4 linked regions of the Anolis sagrei genome follow. The protein of the gene in region 3 interacts with the protein of the main gene of each other region in a pairwise test. Links are inferred from orthologs where the notes say so. Each region holds a gene or a part of one and is shown on either strand. Other genes may lie near its edges. The genes, in order: STAT1, STX11, EIF1AD and BEND7.

Region 1 (7,989 bases), on a different chromosome or scaffold from region 3:
TACCATGATGAGGATTTTTTATATTTTAATATTATATTAATATTATAGTATTAAAATATAAACATTTATTATTATTATTATTATTATTATTATTATTATTATTATTGCCACAGGACTGTTTTGTTGTTTGTCTAGATTACAAAATTGATCCAGGATTACAATCACCCATGAAAAGAATAATTGACTCAGAAACATGCATCAGTAGTAGTATCTAACACAGTAGTATCTAACACAGTAGTATATAACACAGAATATCAAGGCAGAAAATTTCATGATATCTGCTTTAACTGGCATATCGGAGTCCACACTGCCATATATTCCAGTTCAATGTGGGATTTTATTCTTCTGTGTAGAAGGGGACTAAGCTCCAGCTCCTCATGCAGGGACATGAGAGAAGCTTCCTACAAGGATGCTAAAAACATCAAAACATCCAGGCATCCCCTGGGCAACGTCCTTGCAGACAGTCAATTTTCTACACCAGAAGCGACTTGCAGTTTCTCAAGTTGCTTCTGACATGACAATATATATATATATATAAATGGCAGGGAACAGAAAGTGGTCAAGACTATATATTCAGAGGTGGACATCGGAATAGATCTTGGGTTGATGTGAGTTTTCGGGGATATCTGGCCATGTTCCAGAAGCATTCCCTCCTGAAGTTTCACTCACATCTATGGTAGGCATCCTCAGAGGTTGAGGGTTCTGTTGGAAACTAGGCAAGTGAGGTTTATGTATCTGTGGAATAATGTCCAGGGTGGGAAAAAGAACTCTTGTCTGCTTGTGGTAAGTGTGAATGTTGCAACTGGCTACCTTGATTCACACTGAATGGCCCTGCAGTTTCAAAGTCTGGCTGCTTCCTGACTGGTGTATCCTTTGTTGGGAGGTGTTAGCTGGCTCTGATTGTTTCATATCTGGAATTCCAATTTTCTGGGTGTTTTCTGGATTCCCCTTGGCAGGAAGCAGCCAGGCATTGAAGCTGCAAGGCTATTAAATGCTAACCAAGATAGCCAATTGCAAGATTCACACTTGCCTCCAACAGACAAGAGTCCTTTCTCCCACCCTGGATATTCCACAGATATATAAACCCAACTTGCCTAGTTTCCAACAAACCTCGCAACCTCTGAGGATGCCAGCCATAGATGTACGCAAAATGTCAATAGGGAATGCTTCGGGAACATGGCCAAACAGCCTGGAAAAATGACAGCAACCAGTGATTCTGGCCATGAAAGCCTTTGGCAACACATGGAACAGTTCTTGCCAAGAGTAACCTGTTTTGAGATTATCCAAAGGTCTGGCTGCACTTGAAGGCAAATAACAAGAAAAGGGAAGGAGGGGAAAGACATATAGGTGGCACCTTTAAGATCAAATGATTCTTATCTGACACATGTCCTTCATGAATATCCAAAAAATCAGTCTTAAAGATTCTGCCGTGTACCAGTTGTTGTACTCCTCCCTTTCTCCTTTTAGGCTACTTCTCTGAAAACAATAACTGATGCTTTGACAAGGCTGCTCAACCCCAGAATGCCACACCTGCCATCTGCATGAAATATGAACATTAAAAATAAATGTACTCCAAAAAGTTGGATTTGGCAATTACATGCCCCTGGAACACAAGAAAGTAGAACATACGAAAGGCTGGGATAAGCAGGTAATCTTAAATGGGCGACCAGATGTCATGAAAAGACAGCTCTACAATGTATTGTCGAAGGCTTTCATGGCCGGAATCACTGGGTTGTTGTAGGTTTTTTGGGGCTATATGGCCATGTTCTAGAGGCATTCTCTCCTGACGTTTTGCCTGCATCTATGGCAAGCATCCTCAGAGGTCTCACTACCTCTGCGGATGCTTGCCATAGATGCAGGCGAAACGTCAGGAGAGAATGCCTCTAGAACATGGCCACATAGCCCAAAAACCCTACAACAACCCAGACATCTCTACATTCATTAAGAACTAACAGATCTCTGATGCCTCTGCAACACTCCATACAGCATACAGATTATCTGCTTTGAGCCTAGCTGCTTTGAACTGGATTACATGGCAATGTAGACTCAAATAATTCAGTTCAAAGCAGACAATGTGGATGATCTGCATTGATAACCTGGATTTCATATATCAGTGTAGATGGGACCAGGAGCCCCTTCCACACAGCTGAATAAAATCCCATATTATCTGCTTTGAACTGGAATATATGGCAGTGTAGACTCAGATAATCCAGTTCAAAGCAGACAATGTGGATGAACTGCACTGATAACTTGGATTTTATATATCAGTGTAGATGGGACCAGGAGCCCCTTCTACGCAGCTGAATACAATCCCATATTATCTGCTTTGAACTGGAATATATGGCAGTGTAGACTCAAATAATCCAGTTCAAAGCAGACAATGTGGATGACCTGCATTGATAACCTGGATTTTATGTATCAGTGTAGATGGGACCAGAAGCCCCTTCTACACAGCTGAATAAAGTCCCACATTATCTGCTTTGAACTGGGATATGTGGCAGTGTGGACTCAGATAACCCAGTTCAAAGAATATATTGTGGGATGTTTCTGTCTTGATATTCTGGGTTATGTAGCTGTATGGAAGGGCCCTGAGGGAAGTCTAAGGGCCCTTCCACACAGCCACATTATCTGCTTTGAACTGGGAGTGCATCTATACTGCAGGATGGATGCAGTTTGACTTCACTTTCCATGGCTCAAGGAATGCCTGGATTTGTAGTTTGGTGAGGCACCAGCACTCTTTGGCAGAGAAAGCTTTAGACCTTGCAAAACTACAACTCCCCTGATTCCAGAGAACTGAGCCTGGTCAGTTAGAGAAGTGCCAAACTGCATTATTTTTCTCCAGTGTAGATGCACCCCATAGCAATTAAAGGAGAGGGGATCCAATTGCATTAATTCAAAAGGTAGGTGCAGCACTCACCTCACAGTTTTCCCACTCCACAATCGGACACACAACCACAGCAGCACTGCCTCTCCTTTCCTTCCTTCTCTGCTTCTGTAGAAAACGAAACTGCCTCTGACCAGGAAATAGCAAACTGCGAGAGGCAGGCGACCAATCAAAAAGAGGCTGGCAGCTAGGCTCAACCAATCCGGAAAGACCGCCGCCTCTTGATGGAATACCGCTGTTCCTGCAACTTCTCCTCCTCCCTCTTCTGGCTTGTCATTGATGCAAACAGCAGAGTTGTCAGTTTAATTTAGTTTTATTACCTTTTTTTGGCCAAAATCCTTCCATCCGCGCCTGAAAACATAGACATTTATGGGTTGCTGTGAGTTTTCCAGGCTGTAAAGCCATGTTCCAGAAGCATTCTCTCCTGACGTTTCGCCTGCATCTAAAGCAGGCAACCTCAGATATTGTGAGGTCTGTTGGAAACTAGAACAAGTGATATATATCTGTGGAATAATGTCCAGGGTGTGCAGGACATTCCACAGATATATAAACCCCATTTTTCTAGTTTCCAACAGCCTTTGAGGATGCAGGTGAAACGTCAGGAGAGAATGCTTCTGGAACATGGCCTTACAGCCCAGAAAACTCACAGCAATCCACTTATTCTGGCCATGAAAGCCTTTGAGAATGAATACATTTATTTTTATTTCCAGGGTGGATTTCCCTTATGTTTAGTCAAAAATTACCATGATGAGGATTTCTTATATTGTAATATTATGTTAATATTATATTATTAAAATATAAACATTAATAATAACAACAACAACAACAACATGGGACCTTCAATGTCGCATGCATGGGAACAGATACAAAACAGCAACTTTCTGTTGGAATGCAACTCCCATGACTTCCATGATTCAATGCTATGGAGTCCTGGGGTCTGTAGATCTTGTAAAATTACAACTCTCGTGAATCCATAGTATTGCTCCATCATGGCAGTTAAAGTGATGTCAGAGTAGTATACACCCAACAACAACAACAACAACAACAACAACAGGATTTAAAGATCAAAGTGCAAAGACTCTGGCACAAGCCAGTCAAGGTGGTCCCAGTGGTGATCGGCACACTGGGTGCAGTGCCTTGGCCTGTGCTTAAACACAATTGGCGCCAATACATCACACAGTATTAGACACTTGGGAAGTGTCCGATAATAATAGGATTTAAAGATCAAAGTGCAAAGACTCTGGCACAAGCCAGTCAAGGTGGTCCCAGTGGTGATCGGCACACTGGGTGCAGTGCCTAAAGACCTTGGCCTGCACTTAAAAACAATTGGCGCCGATACATCACACAGTATAAAGACTCTGGCACAAGCCAGTCAAGGTGGTCCCAGTGGTGATTGGCACACTGGGTGCAGTGCCTAAAGACCTTGGCCTGCACTTAAATACAATCTGTGCCGATACATCACACAGTCCTAGACACTTGGGAAGTGTCCAACGTGTGATCCAATACAACAGCCAGCAGAGTGTCTGCTGTGCACTCATCTTGTTGTGTTTCAAATAAAATAACAACAACAATAACAACAACAACAACAAATCTGGGCTACCAAACAGCAAGAAATTCACCAAAAATGTCCCACTTGTTGTATATGGATGATCTACAGCTTTAAGGAAAATCAGAAATTGAGATCCAGTCACTGACCAACACAATCAGAATTGGCACACTGGGTGCAGTGCCTAAAGACCTTGGCCTGTGCTTAAACACAATTGGCGCTGACTAATAATAATAATAATTATAATAATTATAATAATAATTATTATTTATCTGCCTCTTCTTAAGGCTCGAACTCGCATTGAGGAGCTGTCAAGGTAAACATTTGCAAACCGCAACAAGTCTTCCTGGCCTGACAACAAAAATAATTCTCCTGATTTTCCTGGAAAGACAAAAAAAAAGCTAAGAGCGCGGGGGGGGGGGGGGGGAGAGCAGTGGCCGCAAGGGCAGGGGAGGGAGGTGGCGCGTTCCAGGGAACAGCCGCCGCCACGTGGTTTCTGGGAAACAGAGGCTTGTAGAGGAAAAGCCTCAGGCAGAGAAAGCGAAAGTTAAAAAGGATCCCCGGGAGGGGAGGGGGAGGGAGGGAGGATCCACCTGCAGATCTGGCTCGGAGGAAGCGGAAGGGTTCTAGGCTCAGGCTTCTAGGCTCAGGGCCCTTCCACACAGCCCTATACCCCAGAATATCAAGGCAGAAAATCCCACAATATCTGCTTTGGACTGGGTTATCTGATCCCACACTGCAATATAGTCCAGTTCAAAGCAGATAATGTGGGATTTTATTCAGCTGTGTGGAAGGGGCACCAGACAGGCCCTCTATCCCAGGATCTGATCCCAGGTTTTCTGCTTTAAACTGGATTATATGAGTCCACACTGCCAGATAATCTGGGATAAACTGAAAACCTGGGATCAGGTCCTGGGATAGAGGGCCTGTCTGGGAGGGCCTTAAGATATTGTAACCTTATATTAGAGAGTACCCATGAGTTTCCTTTTTAAAAAAAATATATTAAAATCTTCGGCTAGAGGGGCAATAATAATACCTTTATAAATAATGGTATTATTATTTTACTGACACAAAAATACAGTATGTCACAGCAAATGAGATCTATATCCTGGATTTCGTATCAAACACTTCCCAAGCGTCTAGGACTGTGTATTATTATTATTATTATTATTATTATTATTATTATTATTATTTGAAACAGTACAAGATGAGTCCACAGCGGACACTCTGCTGGCTGTTGTATTGGATCACACGTCGGACACTTCCCAAGTGTCTAGGACTGTGTGATGTATCGGCAAATAATGCGTGCAGATCCCAGTAAGGTGGCCTTCTGCAGCTGGCAGATGGTAATTTTGTCAGCATCAATTGTGTTTAAGTACAGGCTAAGGTCTTTAGGCACTGCACCCAATGTGCCGATCACCACTGGGACCACCTTGACTGGCTTGTGCCAGAGTCTTTGCAGTTCAATCTTTAAATCTTCATATTGTGTCAGCCTTTCCAGTTGCTTCTCTTAAATCCGGCTGTCGTCTGGGATTGCAACATCCACACTCTGTTTTGTAACATGATCGTGAGGTCAGGAGTCCTGTGCTCCAAAACTCTGTCTGAATTCAGAAGTCCCAAAAGCGTTTGGTGTGTTCATTTTCTATAACTTTTTTCCGGCCTGTGATTCCACCAGTTCTTTGTCACAGGCAGATGGTATTTGTGGCACAAGTTCGAATGAATCATCTACGCAACGGTGTTATGCCTCTACTTGTAGTGATCTTCTTGCATCAGCTGAAGATGTGATCTATTGTTTCCTCTGCTTCCTTGCAGAGTCTACACTTGGGATCTGTCGTTGACTTTATTATTATTATTATTATTATTATTATTATTATTAGAAATGCAACAAGATTTGTACACAGCAAACAAGATCGCTGGCTGTTGTATTATTATTATCATCATCATCATCATCATCATCATCATAGCCAATGCATCAGTGACTTAAGTCTTTCTAGCATAAATCTATTGTGTCCATGGGATAGGATTTGCACACAGGAGAAGCAAACAGTTCAATGATTACACTGTTTGGAAAAAAAATGAAAAATGTTCTGTTCTTGGTTTGAAAGCATTATTTCCTGTTTACTTGTGCAGAACTTACTTTGGGCTCTTCCACACCTCCATATAACCCAGAATATCAAGGCAGAAAATCCCACAATATCTGCTTTGAACTGGGTTATCAGAATCCACACTTCCATATATTCCAGCTCAAAGCAGATAATGGGGTTTTTTATTCAGCTGTGTGGAAGGGGGCTTTGAAAGTAGTTGCTATACCCGAGAAACTTCATTTTTGTGGCTGCCACAGACAATGTTGAATTGGCTGAGACCGTATGAGATATTCATTGGAAAACTATAGCAAAATGTACTGCAGGATGTCCTGCAAAAACAAATAACAAACCTTTTCCATGTTTTTTTTATCATAATTCCAATTAGGAAATAACATTTATAACCCAGGGAAAAAATTGTTACATTATGTGTCATTTTGCAAGGATGGAGCTGCCGCTGGAGAACACGGGATCGTGCAGACAAAATGTAATCCTCTGAGCATGTGCAGAATGCCTTCCCTTGCCAGCATACACACAAACAGTGGCGTGCAAGGTAAACTTTAATAATTTGCATTGGTTGAGCTAATATACATTGCACCCTGTATCATTAGATGTCAGGGTAATAATAAAAGCAAAATCAATATAAGTAGATCTTTAAAAACGTAGAACCAAAGAAAGCAGTGTGAAGAGACTAAAAGCACACTAAACAATTTGACAAGTTACGTGAGCTGCATTTCAACACCAATTAGTACCAATGGTCTGGGTGATGTGAATCACCATCCAAAACATGTGGAGGGCTATCCTGTCTCTGGGTGCATCTAGACTGTAGAATTAGTGCAGTTTGATACCACTTTAACCGCCATGGCTCAGTGCTATGGAATCATAAAAGTTGTGGTTTTAACCAAGTCCTGCCAAGAAGTCCTTGAGCCTCACCAAACTACAACTCCCAGATTCCAAGGCATTGAGCCAAAGCTGTTCAAGTAGTGCCAAAGTGTATTAATTCTACAGTGCAGATTCACCCTCTGATGTAAATAATCAGTCTGTCCCTTCCTGGTCCTATGGTAAGGATTCAAAATTGCAGCCAGAAATATGTCTAGTGACAGCATGGAGATTTATCACATGTTCAAAGCTATCATTGAACATTTAAAGACTAGGGAGTGCTCAAAATACTTTCACAAAGTCTTTGTGATATGTCAGTTTTTATTTATCTTCATATGCCAAGACACTTGATGAAACACCAGGAACATCCTCTTATTCACACAAAAATGTCCAGCAGAAACATTAATACCAACTCCATTTCAGATATCAACTGATTTCATTTACTTATCTGTTGTCCCTTCGACACTACCAGATAATCCAGATTATCTGCTTTGAACTGGATTATACGACATTGCCATATGATCCTGTTCAAAGCAGATAATCTAGATTTTATATGGCACTGTAGAAGGGGCCAGAGAGCAGCATATAATTTGGCTAAC
Region 2 (7,442 bases), on a different chromosome or scaffold from region 3:
CCACATGAGAAGCTGGAGCTGACAGACGGGAGCTCACCCTGCTCCCTGGATTCGAAACGCCAACCTTTTGGTCAGCAGTCCTACTGGCACAAGGGTTTAACCCATTGCACCACTGGGGACTCCTTTCTTACTAAGTCAACAAAACACTATCTTGTTTAAGGGCATGCAGCTGTGACCCTTCCAGATGTTGTTGCACTATAACTCTCACCAGCCCTAGCTAAGCAGACACAATGACAGCTGCAGTGCGAAAACATATACAGGTTGATACTTGAAAATAAATATGTAATTCCCCAAAGAAGAGCTTTTTACATCTCTCTAGCCATTATTACAACTACAGGAGTCCTTCTCTATCCCCTTACCTTCTTAGGCTCAGTTGGTAGTGACAAGGGAGACAGCTCATCCCTGCAAGTGGAAGAATTGTTGTGTTACCAGCCTTTGCATATTGAACAAGACTGGGCTTTTAATTCTGTGTGATGGTGGTGTTAAAATTTAAGGGGTTTGTATAGAATTGATTTAAGGCATTTTTATATTTTTAATTATTTCAATGTGTAAAGCATGTGTTTTTTTTTTTAAAAAAATCTTATATTTATACTTCAGATGACTTTGTTACTGGGTTTACTCTGTGCTATTTTAATATGTTGTGAGCTGCCTTCAGTCCAAGACACCATATGAATCAGTCATGGGCCAACTTGGGCCCTCCTTCCAGGTCAGTGTTTCTCAACCTTTCTAATGCTGTGACCCCTTAAATTCAGTTCCTCATGTTGTGGTGACCTGACCCCAACCTGAAAATTATTTTTCTTGCTACCTCATAACTGTAATTTTGCTAGAGTTGTGAATCGTAATGTAAATATCTGATATTGCAGGATGTATTTTCATTCACTGGACCAAATTTGGCACAAATACCCAATACGCCCAAATTTGAATACTGGTGGAGTTGGGGATGGGGGAATGATTTTGTCATTTGGGAGTTGTAGTTACTGGGATGTATAGTTCACCTACAATCACAGAGCATTCTGAACTACACCAACGAGGAAATTGAACCAAACTTGGCACATAGAACTCCCATGAACAAGAAAATATACTGGAAGGTTTAGTGGGCATTGACATTGAGTGTTGGAGTTGTAGTTCACCTACATCAAGAGATCACTGTGGTCTCAAACAATGTTGGATCTGGACTAAACTTTGTATGAATACTTAATATGCCCAAATGTGAACACTGGTGGAGTTTGGGGGGAAACAGACCTTGACATTTGGGGATTGTAGTTGCTGGGATTTATAGTTCACCTACCATCAAAGAGCATTCTGAACCCTACTAACAATAGAATTGGACCGAACTTCCTACACAGAACCCCCATGACCAACAGAAAATACTGTATTTTCTGATGGCCTTTGGTGACCCTTCTGACATCCCCTTGGGATCCTCCCAGGGGTCCCGACCCCCAGGTTGAGAAACACTGCTCCAGGTATTTGGACTTCAACTCCCACCATTCCTACCATCCTGAGTCCCTTTCCTTTTCTCCCTCAGCCGCTTAAGCTGGTGGAAGTTAAACTCCAAAACACCTGGAGCAGCGTTTCTCAACCTGGAGGGCCCAAGTTGGCCCATGCCTGTTCTATAGCAAAGATGCACCCCAAGTTTTCTGTACATTGAACCACCAGAAAGAAAAGCTCTCACTGTCTCAATGTTAGAGGATTTTGTAATCCCAGATAAGGATTGCTCAACCAACCCATCAAAATAATAATAATAATAATAATAATAATAATAATAATAATAATACTGTCAGAGTTTTGGAGCACAATACTCCTGACCTCATGATCGTGTTAAAAAACAAAGTATGGATTGTTGATGTTGCAATCCCAGGTGACAGCAGGATTGAAGAGAAACAACTGGAAAAGCTGACACGATATGAGGATTTACAGATTGAACTGCAAAGACTCTGGCACAAGTCAGAAAAGGTGGTCCCAGTGGTGATCGGCACACTGGGTGCAGTGCCTAAAGACCTTGGCCTGCACTTAAATACAATCGACGCTGACAAAATTACCATCTGCCAGCTGCAAAAGGCCACTGTACTGGGATCTGCACGCATTATTCACCGATACATCAAACAGTCCTAGATACTTGGGAAGTGTCCGACGTGTGATCCAATACAACAGCCAGCAGAATGATCTTGTCTGCTGTGGACTCATCTTGTTGTGTTTCTAATAATAATAATAATAATAATAATAATAATAAGTAAAGGTAAAAGTTTTCCCTTGACATTAAGTCTAGTTGTGTTTGACTTGGGGTGTGTGTGTGTGTGTGTGTGCGCTCATCTCTACGACCTTAATAAGTCATTTCTATTGGCATATTATGTTATTACATAAACATTTTTATTTGATGGTGTCATGCGTCTTGTATTTTATTTTGTTTTATTGTAATTGCTTGGGCTTGGCCCCATGTTAGCCGCCCCAAGTCCCTTCGGGGAAATGGAGGCGGGGTACAAATAAAGTTATTATTATTATTATTATTATTATTATTATTATTTATTAAGCCAAAGAGCCGGCATTGTCTGTAGACACCTCCAAGGTCATGTGGCTGGCATGTCTGCATGGAGCGGCATTGCCTTCCCACCAGAGTGGTATCTATCGATCTACTCACATTTGCATGTTTTCAAACTGTTAGGTTGGCAGAAGCTGGGGCTAACAGCGGGAGCTCACCCCGAATTCAAACCGCCGACCTTTTGGTCAGCAAGTTCAACAGCTCAGTGGTTTAACCCACTGAGCCACCGAGGGGCTCCTAATAATAATAATAATAATAATAATAATAATAATAATAGCAACTCATAGAACTTTACCCACTAAAACTTCCCTTCTAACTCAGCCAGAAGTTTGAACCAAAGAGAAAGCCACCCTCATCTCCATGAAAGGTAGAGCAAGGAAAGAAGAAGAAGAAGAAGAAGAAGAAGAAACCCGAAGGCAAGGACTCACCTCCTGCGGCTCGGCTCCCAGAGGCGCGTTTGACCGGGCTGCCAACCCCGTTTCCCTCCCGCGTCCCCAGCCAGGCTCGCTTCGCCCCGCCCCCGGCTCCTCCTCCGCGAAGCCCATTGGTCGCCGCAGATCCCCTTCTCCATGGCCCCGCCCACTCCGAAGGGGATGAGGCAGGTGATGGGAAGCAGGCAGAGAGAAGGCTGACAGGTCTGTCCGGCTGCCTGGGAAAGAACTGTGCCTCCAGGGGACTTCTCCAGGATGGTGATGCCGGTGCCTGCCCACATTCCTGGAAGTTTTGCCCCAAGCATCAGTGCATAGCCAGGGGTTGACTACAGCCAGGTGTATCTATCTACATACTGCTCAATTCAGCTTGACACCACTTCAACTACCATGGCTCAGTGCTATGGAGTCATGGGGTTTGTAGTTGGTTGACTACAGGGGTATCGATCTTGATCAATGCTAGGGAGTCATGGGATTTGTAGTTGGCTGACTACATGGATATTATCTATCTTGATCAATGCTCGGGAGTCATGGGATTTGTAGTTGGTTGACTACAGGGGTATCTATCTTGATCAATCCTAGGGAATCATGGGATTTGTAGTTGGCTGACTACAGGGGTATCTATATTGCTCAATGCTATGGAGTCATGAGATTTGTAGTTGGCTGACTACAGGGGTATGTTGATCTATGTATATTGATCAATGTAGCTTGACACCACTTCCATCTGCCATGGCTTAATGCTATAGAATCCTTGGATCTGAAGTTTGGTGAGACACTGGCACTCTTATGCAAACTTTCTAAAACTACAACTCCCATAATTTCATAGCCCTGAGCCATTCCAGTTAAAGGACTGTCAAACTACATTATCTGGTCAGTGTAGATCAGTGGTTCCCAACCTTCTTTTGACCAAGAACCACTTTATGATTTATTTACTTACTTCATTTCTACCCTGCCTTTCTCAACCCTAGAGGGGACTCAAGGCAGCTTACAAGTTCGGCAAAAATTTGATGCCACACAGGTAAACAATAAATCACATCTCATAAAAATGTAAACAATCTAAGCATATAAACAATTAAATTAAAACTCGTAACAATCTATCAAGTAGATTGACCAGGGACCACTTTGATCAGGGACCACTCTCCAACATTAGTACCAAAAGGGTTACGAAACAGTTTTTGGTCAACTTTAGATTTGGTTTAGTTATTTGGGGTGCATATTCAGAAAATTGCATTGGATAGACGACATCAGCTCTGGTTTCCAGTACAAAACATATGCCATCCAGTAGTCACTATCTGCTTGCCCACAGAAAACCATATTTAATAATCTAGGGATGATATGGTAGTAGTAATCTTTTGTGGGTAATCAGCCTCTCCACTCCCGGCATCCCTGTTGCCTCAGCACTATAAGAGGGTTTCGCAAGACCAGTCGCTGTCATTGCCGCATGGTTACAAAGCAATAGTGTAGTAATGGTGAGGCCGCAGAAGACCATATTTTTGTTCTTGCAGACCACTGGTGGTCCATGGACCACAGGTTGGGAACCACTGGTGTAGATGCACTCCTAGAGCCTGTCTTCTAGCATAGTGGCTTTCAACCTTTGTTTCTGCAGATGTTTGGGGCATCATCTCCCAGAAGCCACAGTCAGCTTACAATCCTTAGGACCCTTCCAGACAGGCCCAAAATGTGGGACTTGTCTTGGTTTTTCCTGAGGCATCCAAATGACACCTCAGATAAAAGCAAATTAATCTGGAGAAAACTGGGATTTTCCTAATATGTTCTGTATTTTCCAACTTCCCTCCCACCCAGCTACCCCCCCCCCCAACACATCATTTTCACTTGTCAGGAGTACTCTGCAGAGGGGCCTGCATTGCCAGCAGACCCTTCAGGTACGGGTTCTTTGGGGAAATGGAGGGCTGGAGGGGAACTGAATGCCATCCCAAGTCAACCATTGGTTGACCCGGAATGGCATTTAGCCACCACCTAAAGAAAACCCCAGGGTTTGGGTTGGGGGTGGGGACACAAACCCAGGAAGAAGTTGGTTTAAATAACCCACTTCCTCTCAGATTTTGCCCTGTCTGGAAGGGCCATTAGGCAATTGTCAGGAATTTTGGGAACTGAAGTCCAAAATACCCGAAGGACCAAAGGTACCTTTGAAGCCACTAAAACCTAGGGCAAAGCTGTATGCATTTTGAGCATCAATAGACTAAGCAAACAAAATGGTCTGCTAGGTTGTATTTCTAAGAAAATAGCATCAGTCCAAAACACATAAAAGAGCAAAGGCTGGGAAGCATTGTCCTAGGAGGTACTGAAGTACATTACCATCAGCATTTGCCTATGTTTTATTGGACAGGATCGGGATTTATAGTGACTTTAAAAGATTCGAGAGCTGGGCAAAAACTAACAAAATGAATTTCAACAAAGAGAAATGTAGGATACTACACTTAGGGAGAAAAAAAATGAAATGCTCAGATACAGGATGGGTGAGGCCTCACTCAGCAACAGTCCATGTGCAAAAAATCTTGGAGCCTTAGTAGATCACAAGTTGAACATGAACCAACAATGTTATGCAGCAATTAAAAGGCCAAGGGAAGCAATGGTGCCTCTCTATTCTGCTTTGGTTAAACCTGACCTGGAAAACTGTGTCCAATTCAGTACCACAATTCAAGAGGGCTATTGACAGGCTGAAATGTGTCTAGAGGAGGGCAACTAAAATGATCAAAGGCCTGGAAACCATGCGCTATGAGGAATGGTTTAAAGAGCTGGGTATGTTTAGCCTGCAGAGGAGAAAGTTGAGAGGTGACATGATTACCATGTTTAAATAATTAAAAGGATGTCATAAGGAAGAGAGTGTAGACTTGTTTTTTGCTGACCTGAAGAACAATTGGTTCAAATTACAGGATAGGAGATTCCACCTAAACATTAGGAAGAACTCCCTGAACCTGAGAGCTGTTCAACAGTGGAAGTTTTTGCTTGGAGTCTGGGGGAAGCTCTTTTGAAGTCTTTTAAACAGAGGCCAGAAGACCATTGCCGGGGGTGCTTTGATTGTGCTTTTTCTACATGCAGGGGGTTGGATTGAATAACCCCTGGCCTCTTCCAACTCTTTGATTCTACCAGAACCTTCCAGCCAACACAGCTACAATCCATAAAAAACATGCTCCCAATCATTCACATATCCACCCTTTCTTTTTTAACAGCTGTTGTTTGTTTGAAGAAATGGGGCCATTTTTCTGCCTGAGATTGAGTAGCAAATGCCACCCCACCTCCAGGTCAAATTGCATAGTACTACTAGTAAATTATTTTTGCCTATGGAGCAGGAAATCCGTAGCCACCTCTTTTCATCTCTAGCAATAAAGATCCAGCGGCATCAAGTAAAATCATGAAGAAATGAGCCACCCTTCCAGAATAAACAAAATGTTCCATCTAGGAAAGCTGCCGCACCCTGCCTAAGTGCAGGGCCAGAGCTGATGCTCAGCAAAAAAAATATCTGAACTTTAAATTTGGGTTGGGTGTTGTATTTCATTTTTGACAGCTTTATGAAACAACAAAAACAAATTACCAGGAACAGACCAGAAGGTCTTAATCCCAGCATGTGCTTTTAAGAAGCTCAAGTAATGGGAAAGGTATCCTCTCAGGTCCTGAAATGACCCATTCTTGAGGGATGCATCAAAATGTGCCCTCTGCTCACTGCACTGCTGTGTTCATTTTACTTGATTTTTAGGGACCATGCGGCCCATCCCACTCTGAGGTTTTCTCCCATCTGGAGCACTAATGGGTTCAGTATTTCAAGCGGGACAGGGAGGACAATGAAATCCATTTTCTCAAGCCCAGTTGCACATGCCTGAGTTTGGATCCAGCCCCAAGTCATTTATGGGAACCCTAAGATGAACCATCACTAAGGTGTAAAATACATTGATTCTTACAATTGCACTGTTAATTTATTTTATTTTTCTTCTAGATCTGCATTTCTCAACCTGAGGATCAGGACCCCTGGGGGGTCATGAGGGTGTGTCAGAGAGGTCACCAAAGACCATCAGAAAACACAGTATTTTCTGTTGGTAATGGGGGTTATGTGTGGGAAGTTTGGTCCAGTTCTATCATTGGTGGGGTTCAGAATGCTCTTTGATGGTAGGCGAACTATAAATCCCAGAAACGGCAATTCCCAAATGTCAAGATCTGTTTCCCCCCAAACTCCACCAGTGTTCACATTTGGGCATATTAAGTATTCGTACAAAGTTTAGTCCAGATCCACCATTGTTTGAGTCCACAGTGATCTCTAGATGTAGGTGAGCTACAACTCCAATGCTCAAGGTCAATGCCCACCAAACCCTTCCAGTATTTTTTCTTGTTCAAGGGAGTTCTATGTGCCAAGTTTTGTTCAATTCCCTCGTTGGTGTAGTTCAGAATGCTCTTTGATTGTAGGTGAACTATAAATCCCAGCAATTACAACTCCCAAATGACAAAATCAATCCCACCCCCAACCC
Region 3 (7,575 bases):
TGTTTCCAGGGACAGTCAAGGTCATCCGAGTTCAAGGATGGTGGATCCAGTGCTGATTTCACTCCTTGGTACATTCACAGTTCGGGAAAAGCTGGAGGGAATATATTTGCATAGATTAAATAATAATAATAATAATAATAATAATAATAATAATAATAATAATAATAAATATTCTATTAAATTATATGTAAAATTATTATTATTACTATGTAAAAAAAATCTGGAAATGTTAAATTCAATATATATATTTAAAATATCAATAATGATACTAATTGTGTGAAAAAAATGAATCTGGAACTATTCAATAAAATATATTATTTATATATTCATAATAATGTGTGAAAAAATCTGGAAATATCACACACACACACACATATATATATTAATGCTTGTGTGAAAAATCTGGAAATATTCCATATATATATAATATATACATACATATACCTACATACACACACACACACACACATACATATATATATATACATACACATATATACACATATAATAGGGGTGAAAAATCTGAAAATATTCCATTTATATATATAAAAATAGATAGATAGATAGATAGATAGATAGATAGATAGATAGATAGATAAAAATACTTGTGTGAAAAATCTGGAAATATTACACACGCACATATATTAATAATTGTGTGAAAAACCTGGAAATATTCCATATACATACATACATACATACATAGTGTGTGGAAAAAATCTGGAAATATTCCATATACATACATATATACATATATACATATATATATATATAGTGTGTGTGTGAAAAATCTGGAAATATACCATTTATATAGGTAGGTAGGTAGGTAGGTAGGTAGATAGATAAAAATAATTGTGTGAAAAATCTGGAAATATTCCATATATATATATATATATATATATATAGTGTGAGAAATCTGAAACTATTCCATATAGATAGATACTAGATAGATAGATAGACATATAGATAAATATACTTGTGTGAAAAATCTGGAAATATTCCATATATATATACTTACATACATACATATATATAGTGTGTGAAAAATCTGGAAATATTCCATTTAGAAAAATAGATAGATAAAAATAATTGTGTAAAAAATCTGGAAATATTCCATATATATATATATATATATATATATGTATATATATAGTGTGAGAAATCTGAATCTATTCCATATAGATAGATAGATAGTCAGACATATAGTGTGTGTGTGAAAAATCTCAAAATATTAAACTAAACTAAATTAAACTAAACTATTAAACTAAAATCTATTTAAAATAATAGTATTAAAAAACTGGAAATATTCAATCAAAATATATTTATTATTATTATTATTATTATTGTGTGAAAAAACCTGGAAATATTAAATTAAAATCTATTTAAAACAATAATAATCATCGTATAAAAATTATAAATAATCAATCAAAATATATTTAACATTTATATTATTATTATTATTATTATTATTATTACTATTACTATTATTACTATTGTGTGAAAAAATCTGGAAATACTCCATTAAGATAGAGTAATAATAATAAAATATATTTAACATTTATATTATTATTATTATTACTATTATAATTGCACTTTAGTACAATTAATACTGCTGCACACCGTACTTTAAATTCCTATGCCCCTCCTGCCATTTTCAGCACTTTTAACCATGTACCCTTTCGCCGGCCGAACCAATTTTTAATATGTCTTGATGTATTGTTATTGCTGTTTGCTAATTTTTGATTTGTTTCGCTTTTGATGTTGATTTGCTTTGTTATTACTTGTTATGTTTTCTATTGTATTGTGTGTTGTGGCTCCGGCCTGTGTAAGCCGCATCGAGTCCTTCGGGAGATGCTCGCGGGGTACAAATAAAGTTAATAATAATAATAATAATAATAATAATAATATTACTATTATTATTACTATTATTATTGTGTGAAAAAATCTGGAAATACTCCATTAAAATAGAGTAATAATAATAAAATATATTTAACATTTTTATTACTATTATTGTGTGAAAAAAAATCTGGAAATATTCCATTAAAATCTATTTAAAATAATAAATAATCCTATGGGGAAAAAACTGGAAATAATCAAAATATATTTAACATTTATAGTATTATTATTATTGTGTGAAAAAATCTGGAAATATTCAATTAAATTATATTAATTATATAATAACAATAATAACTATGTGTGAAAAAATCTGGAAATATTCCAATGAAATTATTTCAAATAATAATAATCGTATGGAAAAAAATGGAAATAATAAAATATATTTAACAGTTATAGTATTTATTATTATTATTATTGTGTGAAAAAATCTGGAAATATTCAATTAAATTATATTAATTATATAATAACTATATATATATAATGTGTCAAAACATCTGGAAATATTCCATTAAAATCTATTTAAAATAATAACATTTATAGTATTATTATTATTGTTATTGTGTGTAAAAATCTGGAAATATTGAATTAAATTATAATATATATACCTCAATAATAATAATAATAATACTGTGTGAAAAAAAATCTGGAAATATTCAATTAAAATCTATTTAAAATAATAATAATAATAATAATAATAATAATAATCTTATGGGAGAAAAACAAGAAATAATCAAAATATATTTAACATTTATATTATTGTTATTATTACTATTATTGTGTGAAAAAATCTGGAAATATTCCATTAAAATAGTTATAATAATACTAATAATAGGAGTTCCTTGAGTTCCTCCCTCTCCTGAGCCCCAAAAGGGTGTTCCTGAGCATGTGCAGAGTGCCGGGTTCCCCCCCGAGGCCTTCAGGAGAGGCGAGGCCTCCTCTAGATTTCCCTCTACGCCACTCTCCCCGCCTGGGAACCCCACATTTCCCTCTACGCCGCTCCCTTCCCTCTTCCCTTCCTCGAGGCCCACCTGCTTGGGAACGGGCGCCTTCTTCTCCCCTTCGCGAAGCACGAGAAGCGGGCACTTCCTACTTCCGGCGAGAAGGGAAGCACCACTTCCGGTCCGGTCCCCATAAGGTTCCTACCTGCTCCTCGCGGCGCAGACGGAAGGTTCCGCCACTCAAAGGTTCCGCCCTTCTTTCCAGAGACACTTGGAATGAATTATTATATATATATATGGATATATGTATGTGTGTGTGGATATATATATATATATATATATATATATATATATATATATATATATTATACTATTTAATAAAGCTACTACTACTAATAATAATAACAGAACACTTTCAATAACAGACATTGCAAGTCTTCTGAATGTGCAGACTACGTCATCATCAGCATACTGGAATTCCATAACTGACATTGTCGGTCTTTTGAGTGCGCACAGACTACGTTATCATTGGCATATTGGAGTTCTATAACAGATGTTGTTATATATGGATATGTGTATATGTTTGTGTGTGGATATACATAGAGATTTTATTCTATTTAATAATGCTACTACTACTACTACTACTACTACTAATAATAATAATAATAATAGTAATAACAGAACACTTTGGTGTTCAAGGAGAGGCCGAGCTTCTCGTACGCTTCTGCAAAAGGTGTTGAGAGTGGCTTGTAGGCTTTCTTCCTCTGAATGCGCACAGACTACATTATCATCTGCATACTGGAGTTCTATAACTCACATAGGACTTCTTCCGAATGCACAGAGTACATTATCATTGGCATATTGGAGTTCCATAACAGGCATTGTAGGTCTTTTTCTGAATGTGCACAGATTACGTTATCATTGGCATACTGTAGTTCCATAACAGACATTTTAGGTCTTCTGAGTGCGCACACGCTACGTTATCATCGGCATATTGAAGGTCTATAACGGACGTTGAAGGTCTTATTCTGAATGCATACTTAAGTTCCATAACAGAAGTTGAAAGTCTTCTGAATGCGCACAGACTACGTTATCATCAGCATACCAGTTCCACAAGACTTTGTAGGTCTTCTTCTGAATGTGCAGAGATTACGTTATCATTGGCATACTGTAGTTCCATAACCAACTTTGAATGTCCATTATCATCGGCATATTGCAGTTCTATAACTGACGTTGGAGGTCTTCTCCTGAATGCGCACAGACTATGTTATCATCGGCATATTGGAGTTCTATAACAGACATTGTAAGTGTTCTGAATGCGCACAGACTACATTATCATCTGCATACTGGAGTTCTATCTCACATAGGACTTCTTCCAAATGCACAGAGTATGTTATCATTGGCATATTGGAGTTCTATAACTGACATAGGACTTCTTCCGAATGCACAAAGTACGTTATCATTGGCATACTGTAGTTCCACAACAGACATTGTAGGTCTTCTGAGTACGCACAGACGACGTTATCATCTGCATACTGGAGTTCTATAACTAACATAGGTGTTCTGAATGTACAGAGTACATTATCATTGGCATATTGGAGTTCTATAACAGACATTGCAAATCTTCTGAATGTGCACAGACTACGTTATCATCGGCATATTGGAGTTCCATAACAGACATTGCAAGTCTTCTGAATGCGCACAGACTACGATATCATCGGCATATTGGAGCTCCATTACAGGCATTGTAGGTCTTCTTCTGAATGCGCACAGACTACTTTATCATCGGCATATTGGAGTTCCATAACAGACTTTGTAGTTCTTCTGAATGAGCACAGACTACATTATCATCGGCATATTGGAGTTCCATAACAGACATTGTAGGTCTTCTTCTGAATGAGCACAGACTACATTATCATTGGCATATTGGGACTTCTACAATGTCTGTTATAGAACTCCAATTTGCCAATGATAACATACTCTGTGCACATTCAGAAGAAGACTTTCAATGCCTGTTATGGAACTCCAATATGCCGATGATAACGTAGTCTATGCACATTCAGAAGAATACCTACAAAGTCTACTACGTTAGCTACTACGTTATCATCGGCATATTGGAGTTCCATAACAGACTTTGTAGGTCTTCTTCTGAATGAGCACAGACAATGTTATCATCAGCATATTGGGAGATCATAACAAATAGATATTCACAAAGTCGGGTCACAACAGTCCATTTTATTTAGTGCAGAAAAATACGGAAGTAACAGAATAAACCAAAAGCTTCCACAACTTTTGGGGGGAAATCTTTTCCGTTTCTAGAAAAATAACCCTTCTATTTCAACTAGAAAACATAGTTCAGCATTCTTCATCCGGGAAGAAATATTTCAATATTTTGCATATATAATTAACTCTCCATTAATTAGCAAAAAAAAAAAAAAACCAAAAAAACCAAAAGGACGAAAAAATACTTTAAATAAATATTAAAAATCCATGTTTAGTGCAGGAAAGCGAGTGTTGCATTGAGTTAGCTTTCTTAATTAGCCTATGTGTGCATTTGAATATTAATATCGCATCAGGGAATGGTATAGTATTCGTTAGGCTGATTATTATTATTATTATTATTATTATTATTATTATGTGAAAAAAATCTGAAAAGATGCAATCAGAATATATTTTTTAAATTATTCTGTGGGAAAAAAATCTGGAAATATCCAATTGAAATATATTTAAAATAGTAATTATTATTATGATTGTGCAAAAATGTTTTTGGAAATATTCAATTAAAATATATTTACAATAATAATAATTCTGTGGAAAAATCTGGAAGCATTAAATAAGAATATAATTGAAATAATAATAATTATTATTGCGTGGGAAAAAAATCTGGAAATATTCAATAAGAGTATATTTAAAATATCTATTATTATTATTATTATTATTATTATTACGTGGGAAAAATCTGGAAATATTCAATTAAAATATATTTAAAATAATAATAAGAAGAAGAATAAGAATAATAATTGTGTGGAAAAATCTGGAAACATTAAATAAGAATATAATTAAAATAATAATAATTATTATTATTATTGCGTGGGAAAAATCTGGAAACATTCAATAAGAATATATTTAAAATATCTATTATTATTATTATTATTATTATGTGGGAAAAATCTGGAAGTATTCAATTAAAACATATTTAAAATAATAATAATAATGTGTGGAAAAATCTGGAAACATTAAATAAGAATATAATTAAAATAATAATTATTATTATTGCATGGGAAAAATCTGGAAATATTCAATTAAAATATATTTATAATAATAATAATAATTGTGTTGAAAAATCTGGAAACATTAAATAAGAATATAATTAAAATAATTATTATTATTGCGTGGGAAAAAATCTGGAAATATTCAATAAGAGTATATTTAAAATATGAATAATAATAATTATTGTGTGGAAAATTTTTGGAAATATTAAATAAGAATATATTTGAAATAATAATAATAATAATTGCATGGGAAAAATCTGGAAATATTCAATAAGAGTATAAAATATGAATAATAATAATAATTATTATTGTGTGGAAAAAAATTGGAAATATTAAATAAGAATATATTTTCAATGATTATTATTATAATTGTGTTGAAAAAAATCTGGAAACATTCAATTTAAATATATTTAAAATTATTAAAATTATAATTATTGTTGCCTGAAAATATAATAATAATAATAATAATAATAATAACAACAACAACAACAACAACAACAATAATGCAGCTTCCTAACTTGCTGGGTCTCAAATCCTGTTTTTCAGCTTCATTATGATTATGATTATTGTGTGAAAAAATGGAAAATATTCAATGAAAATATATTTAATAATATTTGTGTGAAAAAAAATGGAAATATTCAATGAAAATATATTTTAAATTATTATTATTATTATTCTGGGGAAAATCTGGAAATATTGAATAAAATGTTAATAATAATATTGTGTGAAAAATGGAATATATTCAATAAAATGTATTGAATAATAACAATAATAATAATATTTCTGTGAAATTTTTTTGGAAATATTCAATAAAATATATTGAATAATAATAATATTTCTGTGAAAAAAATTGGAAATATTCAATGAAAATATATTTTAAATTATTATTATTACGGGGAAAACCGGGAAATATTCAATAAAATTTTAATAATAATTTGTGAAAAATTGAAAATATTCAATAAAACATATTTAATAATAATATTTCTGTGAAAAAAATTGGAAATATTCAATTAAAATATATTTTTATTATTATTATTATTATTATGGGAAAAATCTGGAAATATTCGATAAAATTTTGATAATAATATTGTGTGAAAAATTGAAGATATTCAATAAAGTATATTGAATAATAATATTTCTGTGAAAAAAATGGAAATATTAAATTAAAATATATTTTAAATTATTATTAATATTATGAGGAAAATCTGGAAATATTCAATAAAAATTTAATAACATTATTTAATAATAATATTTCTGTGAAAAAAATGGAAATATTCAATTAAAATATATTTTCAAAAAATATTATTATGTGAAAAAAACTGGAAAGATTGAATTGAAATATATACTTAATAATCATAATAATAATTATAATCATCACCTTCCTAACCCATTGCTTGCTGAGTCCCGAATCCGGTTCTTCGACTTCATTATTATTATTATTATTATTATTATTATTAGCCTTCCAAATAAAC
Region 4 (7,054 bases), on a different chromosome or scaffold from region 3:
AGTATGCTTCATTATAATGTTTGATTTTATTGTTGCTGATGTTTTAATATTGTATATTGCAATTGTGTCCTTGGTGGCATTGAATTCTTGCCTTGTAAACCGCCTCGAGTCGCCGAAAGGCTGAGAGGGGCGGTATAGAAATGTACTAAATAAAATAATTAAATAAATAATAAAATAAATAAAATAAAGTATATACTCAAGTATAAGCCTAGTTTTTCAACCCTTTTTTAGGCTGAAAAAGTCCCATTCGGCTTATACTCGAGTCAAGATTATTTATTATTTAATTCTATTATTATTATTATTTTACTCTATTATTATTACATTTTTTATTTTACTTTATTATTGCTGTTATTATTGCATTTATTATCTTACTCTATTATTACTGTTATTATTACATTTCTATTACTTTGCTCTATTATTATTACATTTATTATTTTACTCTTTTATTACTGAAAGGATGTGCAAACATTTACACTGAAAAAGGTTGGTATCATGGTTTAATCAGAGTCGGACAGTCTTATCTTAAATTACAGTTTTATGTAAATATTCAAAAACATTTAACCATAGATGCAGGCTAAACGTCAGGAGAGAATGCCTCTAGAACAGGGGTCCTCAAACTACGGCCCGGGCGCCGAATGTGGCCCTCCAAGGTCATTTACCTGGCCCTCGCTCAGGGTCAACCTAAGTCTGAAACGACTTGAAAGCACAAAGCAACAACAACCCTACCTCATCAGCCAAAAGCAGGCCAACACTTCCCAATAAAATACTAATAAGTTTATATTTGTTAAAATTGTTTTTCATTTTAATTATTGTATTGTTCTAAAGTGTTTTTGCACTACAAATAAGATACATGCACTTTGCATAGGAATTCATTCATATATTTTTTTTCAAATTATAATCCGGCCCTCCAACAGTTTGAGGGACTATGACCTGGCCCTCTGGTAAAACGTTTGTGGATCCCCTGCTCTAGATCATGGCCATATAGCCCGAAAAAACCTACAACAACCCAACATTTAACCTACTGATGCCTCAGTTAATGAGATAGTATTGGAATCTATTTTTATTTTGGAATTTACCAGTAGCTGCTGTATTTCCCACCTTTGGCTTATACTCAAGTCAATATGTTTTCCCAGTTTTTTGTGGTAAAATTAGGTGCCTCGGCTTATATTTGGGTCGGCTTATACTCGAGTATATACGGTATTACATGTAATATTACTAATAATATTACAATATAATGGTATAGTACAATATAGTAATATTTAGTACTTTTTTTTGTCGTGTCAGGAGCAAGTCGCTTCTGGTGTGAGAGAATTGGCTGTCTGCAAGGACGTTGCCCAGGGGACGCATGGATGATTTGATGTTTTTATCATCCTTGTGGGAGGCTTCTCTCATGTCCTCGCATGAGGAGCTGGAGCTGATAGAGGGAGCTCATCCGCCTCTCCCCGGATTTGAACCTGCGACCTGTCGGTCTTCAGTCCTGTCGGCACAGGGGTTTAACCCACTGCGCCACCGGGGGCTCCATAGTTAATACTGATATTGTACTAGGCCCGTGATGGTGAACCTATGACACGTGTGTCAGCACTGACACGCATGGCTATTTTTCATGACACGCAGCCACATGCGGCCGCATATAGAGAAGTACACCTTATAAGGGCCAATTGAATTCCATCCTTAAATTTGTAAAAGGCTCTACAAATTTAACATCTGCATGTTTGAGCATTGTTCACTCCATAACTCAGCATGGAATATACATTTTTCTTATTTAAACTATAAATATTGCAAAGTTATGGGGTTTTTTTTCTCGAAGTTGACACTCCACCCAAGTTATGGTCAGGTTTTTGGCAGATTTTAACACACCAAGCTCAAAAGGTTGCCCATCACTGTACTAGGCTAATAATATAACATATTGTACGGATATATATCTTGTAAGCTGCTTTGAGTCCCCTTCGGGATGAGAAGGCCGGCATAGAAATGTCGTAAATAAATAAATACATATTGTGGATTATCTGCCTTGATATTCTGGGTTATATGGCTGTGTGGAAGGGCCATAAATATCATTGTCTGGCTGATTTCCTGATTCGCCTCTTCTTGAAAATTGCATTGACCAGGAAGTGCCACCTAACTTTCACATTTGATGTCTTGGCTCCCTGAGAAAAAAGTGCCGATTCTGAATAAATAAAAACACGCAAAAACACCGCTTCCAAGATTATTAAATAGTTAAAATAATCCTAATGAGACTGAAAGGAAGGACACATAGGGCCCTTCCACCCAGAATATCAAGGCAGAAAATCCCACAAAATCTGCTTTGAACTGGGTTATCTGAGTCCACACTGCCATATATCCCAGTTAAAAGCAGATATTGTGGGATTTTATTCAGGTGTAGAAGGGTCACACATCCTGGTTGCCAAACTCTCTGTATCTAGAAGTCTTCCTTGTTTTATTTCCCAGAGACAAAAAGGAAATGTCACACAGACGACGACCTCCCTTCCTCTCTCCCAGTCTCTCTTTCTCCCTTCCCCCCCTTTTTTCCCCTTTTTCCTTACCTTGATTTATCAGTTTAAAGCTTTGGGATTTCCTGCTTCTTTTCCTCTCAGTAAACTCCATAGTGCGAGCAGGAAGGAGGAGGAGGAAGAAGAAAGGCAGGAGGAATCAAGTGCGACGAGGAGGAGGAAGGAGAAAAGAGGAGGAAGGAGGGTCCAGCCGCCAGAGAGAGACCAAGGTCCGTCTCTGTAATGGGCAGAAAGGAAGGAGGAAGGAGGGCCAAGCGGGACAAGTTGGCGGCGGACTTTCCCTCGCCTCGCCTCCCCGCGTCGCCCGCATCCAGCTCCAAACTTTGGAGAGGGGCTGCCGTCCCCTCCGCCTCCTCCTCCTCTGAAGGAGAGAGAGGGAAGGAAGGGAGGAAGGGGGCGGGAGGAAGAGGGAGGCGAATCAATGGGGAGGAGGAGGAGGAGGCGGCGGTGGTGGTGACTGGGCGCCCGGTGCCACCTGCTGGGGAGGAGGAGAGCCGAGGCACACGCCCCGCGGCGGGAGGCTGGGCCCAAAGGCCGCCGCCGCCGCCACTGCCACCTCCAGGCCGGCTGGGCAGCCCACGCCAGGCCGGGGACGCAGCGGCGGCTGTGGGCCCCAAGGGGGAGGAGGAGGAAACAGAGTGGGGGAGATAGAGCAGAGTGTCATGGCTGCTAATAGCGAGGGCGGGCACACCGCTCGCTGCCTGGCTCTCCCTCCCTGTCTGTCCCTGACAGGGGGCGTGGGGTTGCCTCAGAGCCCGGGCCATTGGGAGGGGGAGGGAGCAGCGCCATTTTGTGCCCTCCATCCCATCCACCTGAGGGAGAGAGAGAGAAAGAGAGGGAGGGAAGGAGTGCGGCGCCCTGACGGAGGCCATGGCTCGTGCCCCCTCAGCCGCTTCCTCGCGCCCTTTTTGCCCACTAGGGCAGCGTCGCGCGCCTCAATCCCCGGTACAAGCAAGGCAGGAAGGAAGCAGCCCTCTCTCTCGCCATGAACGGCCTTTCAGTTAGAGTTACCTCAGGCCGCTTCTTGACATCCCCTCGAGCGATTTATGTTAATATTAGCTATTTCTACTGATGTTAAAAACTGATGCCATAAGGAAGAGGGAGCAGGTTTGTTTTCTACTGCCCTGGAGACTTGGATTCGAAGTAGTGCGTTCACATGCCTAGAGGAGGGTGACTAAAATGATCAAGGGTCTGGAGAACAAGCCCAATGAGGAGCGGCTTAAAGAGTTGGGCATGTTTAGCTTGTTGCGCTTGGAGCCTGGAGTAACGTCAATACCTGACAATTTCACCTTATGCCTGGAGGCTCTGCCGAACTGGCTACATGCTAGCAGACTGAAGGTGAACCCGGCAAAGACTGAGATTCTCTGGCATGGCCACCCGATAGGTCCGACCCATCCGTTACCTACCTTCTCTATCTCCATCGCCTACCGTTAAGAGCCTAGGTGTCGTTTTGGATTCGCAGCTGACGATGGAGGCTCAGGTCGCTGCTGCCAGCAAACAGGCCTTTTTCCATCTACGACAGTGTTTCTCAACCTGGGGGTCGGGACCCCTGGGGGGGTCGCGAGGTGGTGTCAAAGGGGTCGCCAAAGACAATGATAAGACACAGTATTTTCTGGTGGTCATTGGGGTTCTGTGTGGGAAGTTTGGCCCAATTCTATCATTGGTGGAGTTCAGAATGCTGAACTATAAATCCCAGCAACTGCAACTCCCAAATGTCAAGGTCTATTTTCCCCAAACCCCACCAGTGTCCACATTTGGGCATATTGAGTATTCGTGCCAAGTTTGGTCCAGATGCATCAGTGCTCTCTGGATGTAGGTGAACTACAACTCTAAAACCCAAGGTCAATACCCACCAAACCCTTCTAGTATTTTCTGTTGGTCATGGGAGCTCTGTGTCCAAATCAGATAAGAGCAAAGGGGATCGCAATCACAAGCAGAAAAGCGCAGGAAGCACGGCGGCACAAGGCACAGAGGCTGTTCCCTTGAAGCCTTAAAACCCAGTATTTGGCACTAGCTCTTAACTCAAAATGCTACTTGTATGTCAGAGTGAAACCATCGGCCCATTTATGGTTCTTAACTCAAAACACTCTTAAGTTGGGGTGCTCTTAAGTAGAGGTTCCACCATATCTATATTTCTATCTCAAGAAAAAGACAAAATAGAACACACTAAATGATATATATCATTCCCAGAACATTGATGATTGTAAACTAGACAGCTTACAATCATCCTGCATTTACTTTGCACCAGCAAATCTAGTGCGCACCTCAATTTCCAAAACCCTGAAACCAAAATAAATTATTGTAATGCACAGCAGCACAAAAGTGCACTCTTTGTAATTTGGCCCCAAAAGGTACACGTTACAGTGGCTGCCTGCTCAAAATTCCTTCTTTCAAAACAAAAGTGTTAGAACACCAAAGCTTTCAGCAATGGAAAAATAAAACCTTGGGGTGCATCTCTGCTGTAGAATGAATCCACTTTGACTTCTCTGGCACCATGCTAAGGAGTCATGGGGGCTATAGTTTGGGCTCTATATTTGGCTGGAGTTGCACTTAAAATGTGCTCACTTACAAACAAATTCAACTTAAGAACAAGCCTTCAGAACCTATCTTGTTTGTAACTTGGGGACTGCCTGTATAAACATATCTACAAATGGGAAGCATCTTAGGACGTGGGTGTATCAGATATATTTTTGTTGCTGGTGGTGTTACTGAAATCGAGGTGCGTCTTACAGTTGAAGAATCATAGAGTTGGAAGAGACCTCATGGGCCATCCCGTCCAACCCCCTGCCAAGAAGCAGGAATATTGCATTCAAAGCACCCCTGACAGGTGGCCATCCAGCCTCTGTTTAAAAGCCTCCAAAGAAGGAGCCTCCACCACACTCTGGTGCAGAGAGTTCCACTGCTGAACGGCTCTCAAAGTCAGGAAGTTCTTCCTCATGTTCAGATGGAATCTCCTTTCTTGTAGTTTGAAGCCATTGTTCCGTGTCCTAGTCTCCAAGGAAGCAGAAAACAAGCTTGCTCCCTCCTCCCTGTATATATTCTGTTTTCTCACCTCAGTTTAAAAGTGGCTTTTAATATTCCAAATTCTTGTGTGACTAGATATGGCGACAAGAGGGAAATATATACATACTTTTAAGCTGTATTGTTTACTCAAAAATGAAATTAAGGCACACAAATTGCCACAACTACAGACAATTAAAACCCGTAAGGAGTTTAATTTTGCAAAGAGAGATTTAAAAGATTAAGATGAGTTCAACATCGGCCATAAAGAAGTCTTATTTGGAGTTTTTGGCTGCAATGTGTCTTGTTTATTGCCTGTCTTTTTCTGATTTCGATCCCAGAAACCTAACCAGGGCCGGCCCTCTTGGGAAGCCGTATAACTTTCTTATGAGTAAATATTCATAGCATTGAGTTGGGCATGAAACATGCCTAACTTGATAGGTCAGGAGATAGGCTAAACAAGCTGACTAGTAGATTTACACTTAATTTATTCCTAAATTCCTCAACATCAACGTCAAGGCAGACCAAGCATATTTTTCTGCCTCAGTCAGAGATGGAAATGACACACCCAGCCATGTCACGATTGTTGTTGTGTACCTTCATTGCCTTACTTACTTATTTAGATGATCCCTCATAGTCCAAGGATGATGGTCTTCCAAGGTCGGTGTTCTGTCGGTGGGTCCGGAGGTGACTCTGAAGCCCAATTCTTGATCTGCATCTTCTTCTTCTTCCAGGTGGAAGGCAGTATCGGTCGGGGTTGGCTTGATGCGCCTTCCTCTTGGCACGTTTCTCTCTTTTGCCCTCCATTCGTGCCTCTTCAAACTCCACAGCACTGCTGGTCACAGCTGACCTCCAGCTGGAGCGCTCAAGGGCCAGGGCTTCCCAGTTCTCGGTGTCCATGCCACAGTTTTAAAGGTTGGCTTTGAACCCATCTTTAAATCTCTTTTCCCGGCCACCAACATTCCATTTTCCGTTCTTGAGTTCGGAGTAGAGCAACTGCTTTGGGAGACGGTGGTCGGGCATCCGGACAATATGGCTGGTCCAGCGGAGTTGATGGCGGAGGACCATCGCTTCAATGCTGGTGGTCTTTGCTTCTTCCAGCACGCTGACATTATCCACTGGTCTTCCCAAGAGATTTGCAGGATTTTCCAGAGACACCGCTGATGGAATCGTTCCAGGAGTTGCATGTGATGTCTGTAGACAATCCACATCTCACAGGCATATAGCAGGGTTAGGAGGACAATAGCTTTATAAACAAGCACCTTGGTATCCCTACGGATGTCCTGGTACTCGAACACTCTCTGCTTCATTCAGAAAAAGGCTGCACTCGCAGAGCTCAGGCGGTGTTGAATTTCAGTGTCAATGTTGACTTTTGTGGAGAGGTGGCTGCCAAGATAGTGGAAATTGTCAACATTTTCTAATGTTACACCATTAAACTTTATTTCTGGCATTTGAGAAGGATTGCTTGGTGACTGCTGGAAGAGCACTTTGGTTTTCTCAATGTTTAATGACAGGCCGAGCTGCTTGTATGCTTCTGCGAAGGT

The links.
Region 1: the proteins of EIF1AD (region 3) and STAT1 interact in binary tests that used the Homo sapiens proteins (3 or more experiments, as listed by UniProt). The two-hybrid records come from large-scale screens. The link is inferred for Anolis sagrei from reciprocal best matches to the Homo sapiens genes EIF1AD and STAT1.
Region 2: the proteins of EIF1AD (region 3) and STX11 interact in binary tests that used the Homo sapiens proteins (3 or more experiments, as listed by UniProt). The two-hybrid records come from large-scale screens. The link is inferred for Anolis sagrei from reciprocal best matches to the Homo sapiens genes EIF1AD and STX11.
Region 4: the proteins of EIF1AD (region 3) and BEND7 interact in binary tests that used the Homo sapiens proteins (3 or more experiments, as listed by UniProt). The two-hybrid records come from large-scale screens. The link is inferred for Anolis sagrei from reciprocal best matches to the Homo sapiens genes EIF1AD and BEND7.

Annotation. Positions count from the first base shown.
Region 1 is NC_090021.1:182,695,492-182,703,480, reverse strand, and holds the start of STAT1 (signal transducer and activator of transcription 1-alpha/beta), read right to left. Parts: upstream 3,022-7,989; 5' UTR 2,918-3,021; intron 1-2,917. UniProt on the Homo sapiens protein: Signal transducer and transcription activator that mediates cellular responses to interferons (IFNs), cytokine KITLG/SCF and other cytokines and other growth factors.
Region 2 is NC_090021.1:76,142,971-76,150,412, forward strand, and holds the start of STX11 (syntaxin-11), read right to left. Parts: upstream 3,020-7,442; 5' UTR 2,965-3,019; intron 1-2,964. UniProt on the Homo sapiens protein: SNARE that acts to regulate protein transport between late endosomes and the trans-Golgi network.
Region 3 is NC_090032.1:22,011,706-22,019,280, forward strand, and holds the start of EIF1AD (probable RNA-binding protein EIF1AD), read right to left. Parts: upstream 3,021-7,575; 5' UTR 2,922-3,020; intron 92-2,921; 5' UTR 1-91.
Region 4 is NC_090025.1:92,913,272-92,920,325, forward strand, and holds the start of BEND7 (BEN domain-containing protein 7), read right to left. Parts: upstream 3,024-7,054; 5' UTR 2,605-3,023; coding exon 2,544-2,604; intron 1-2,543.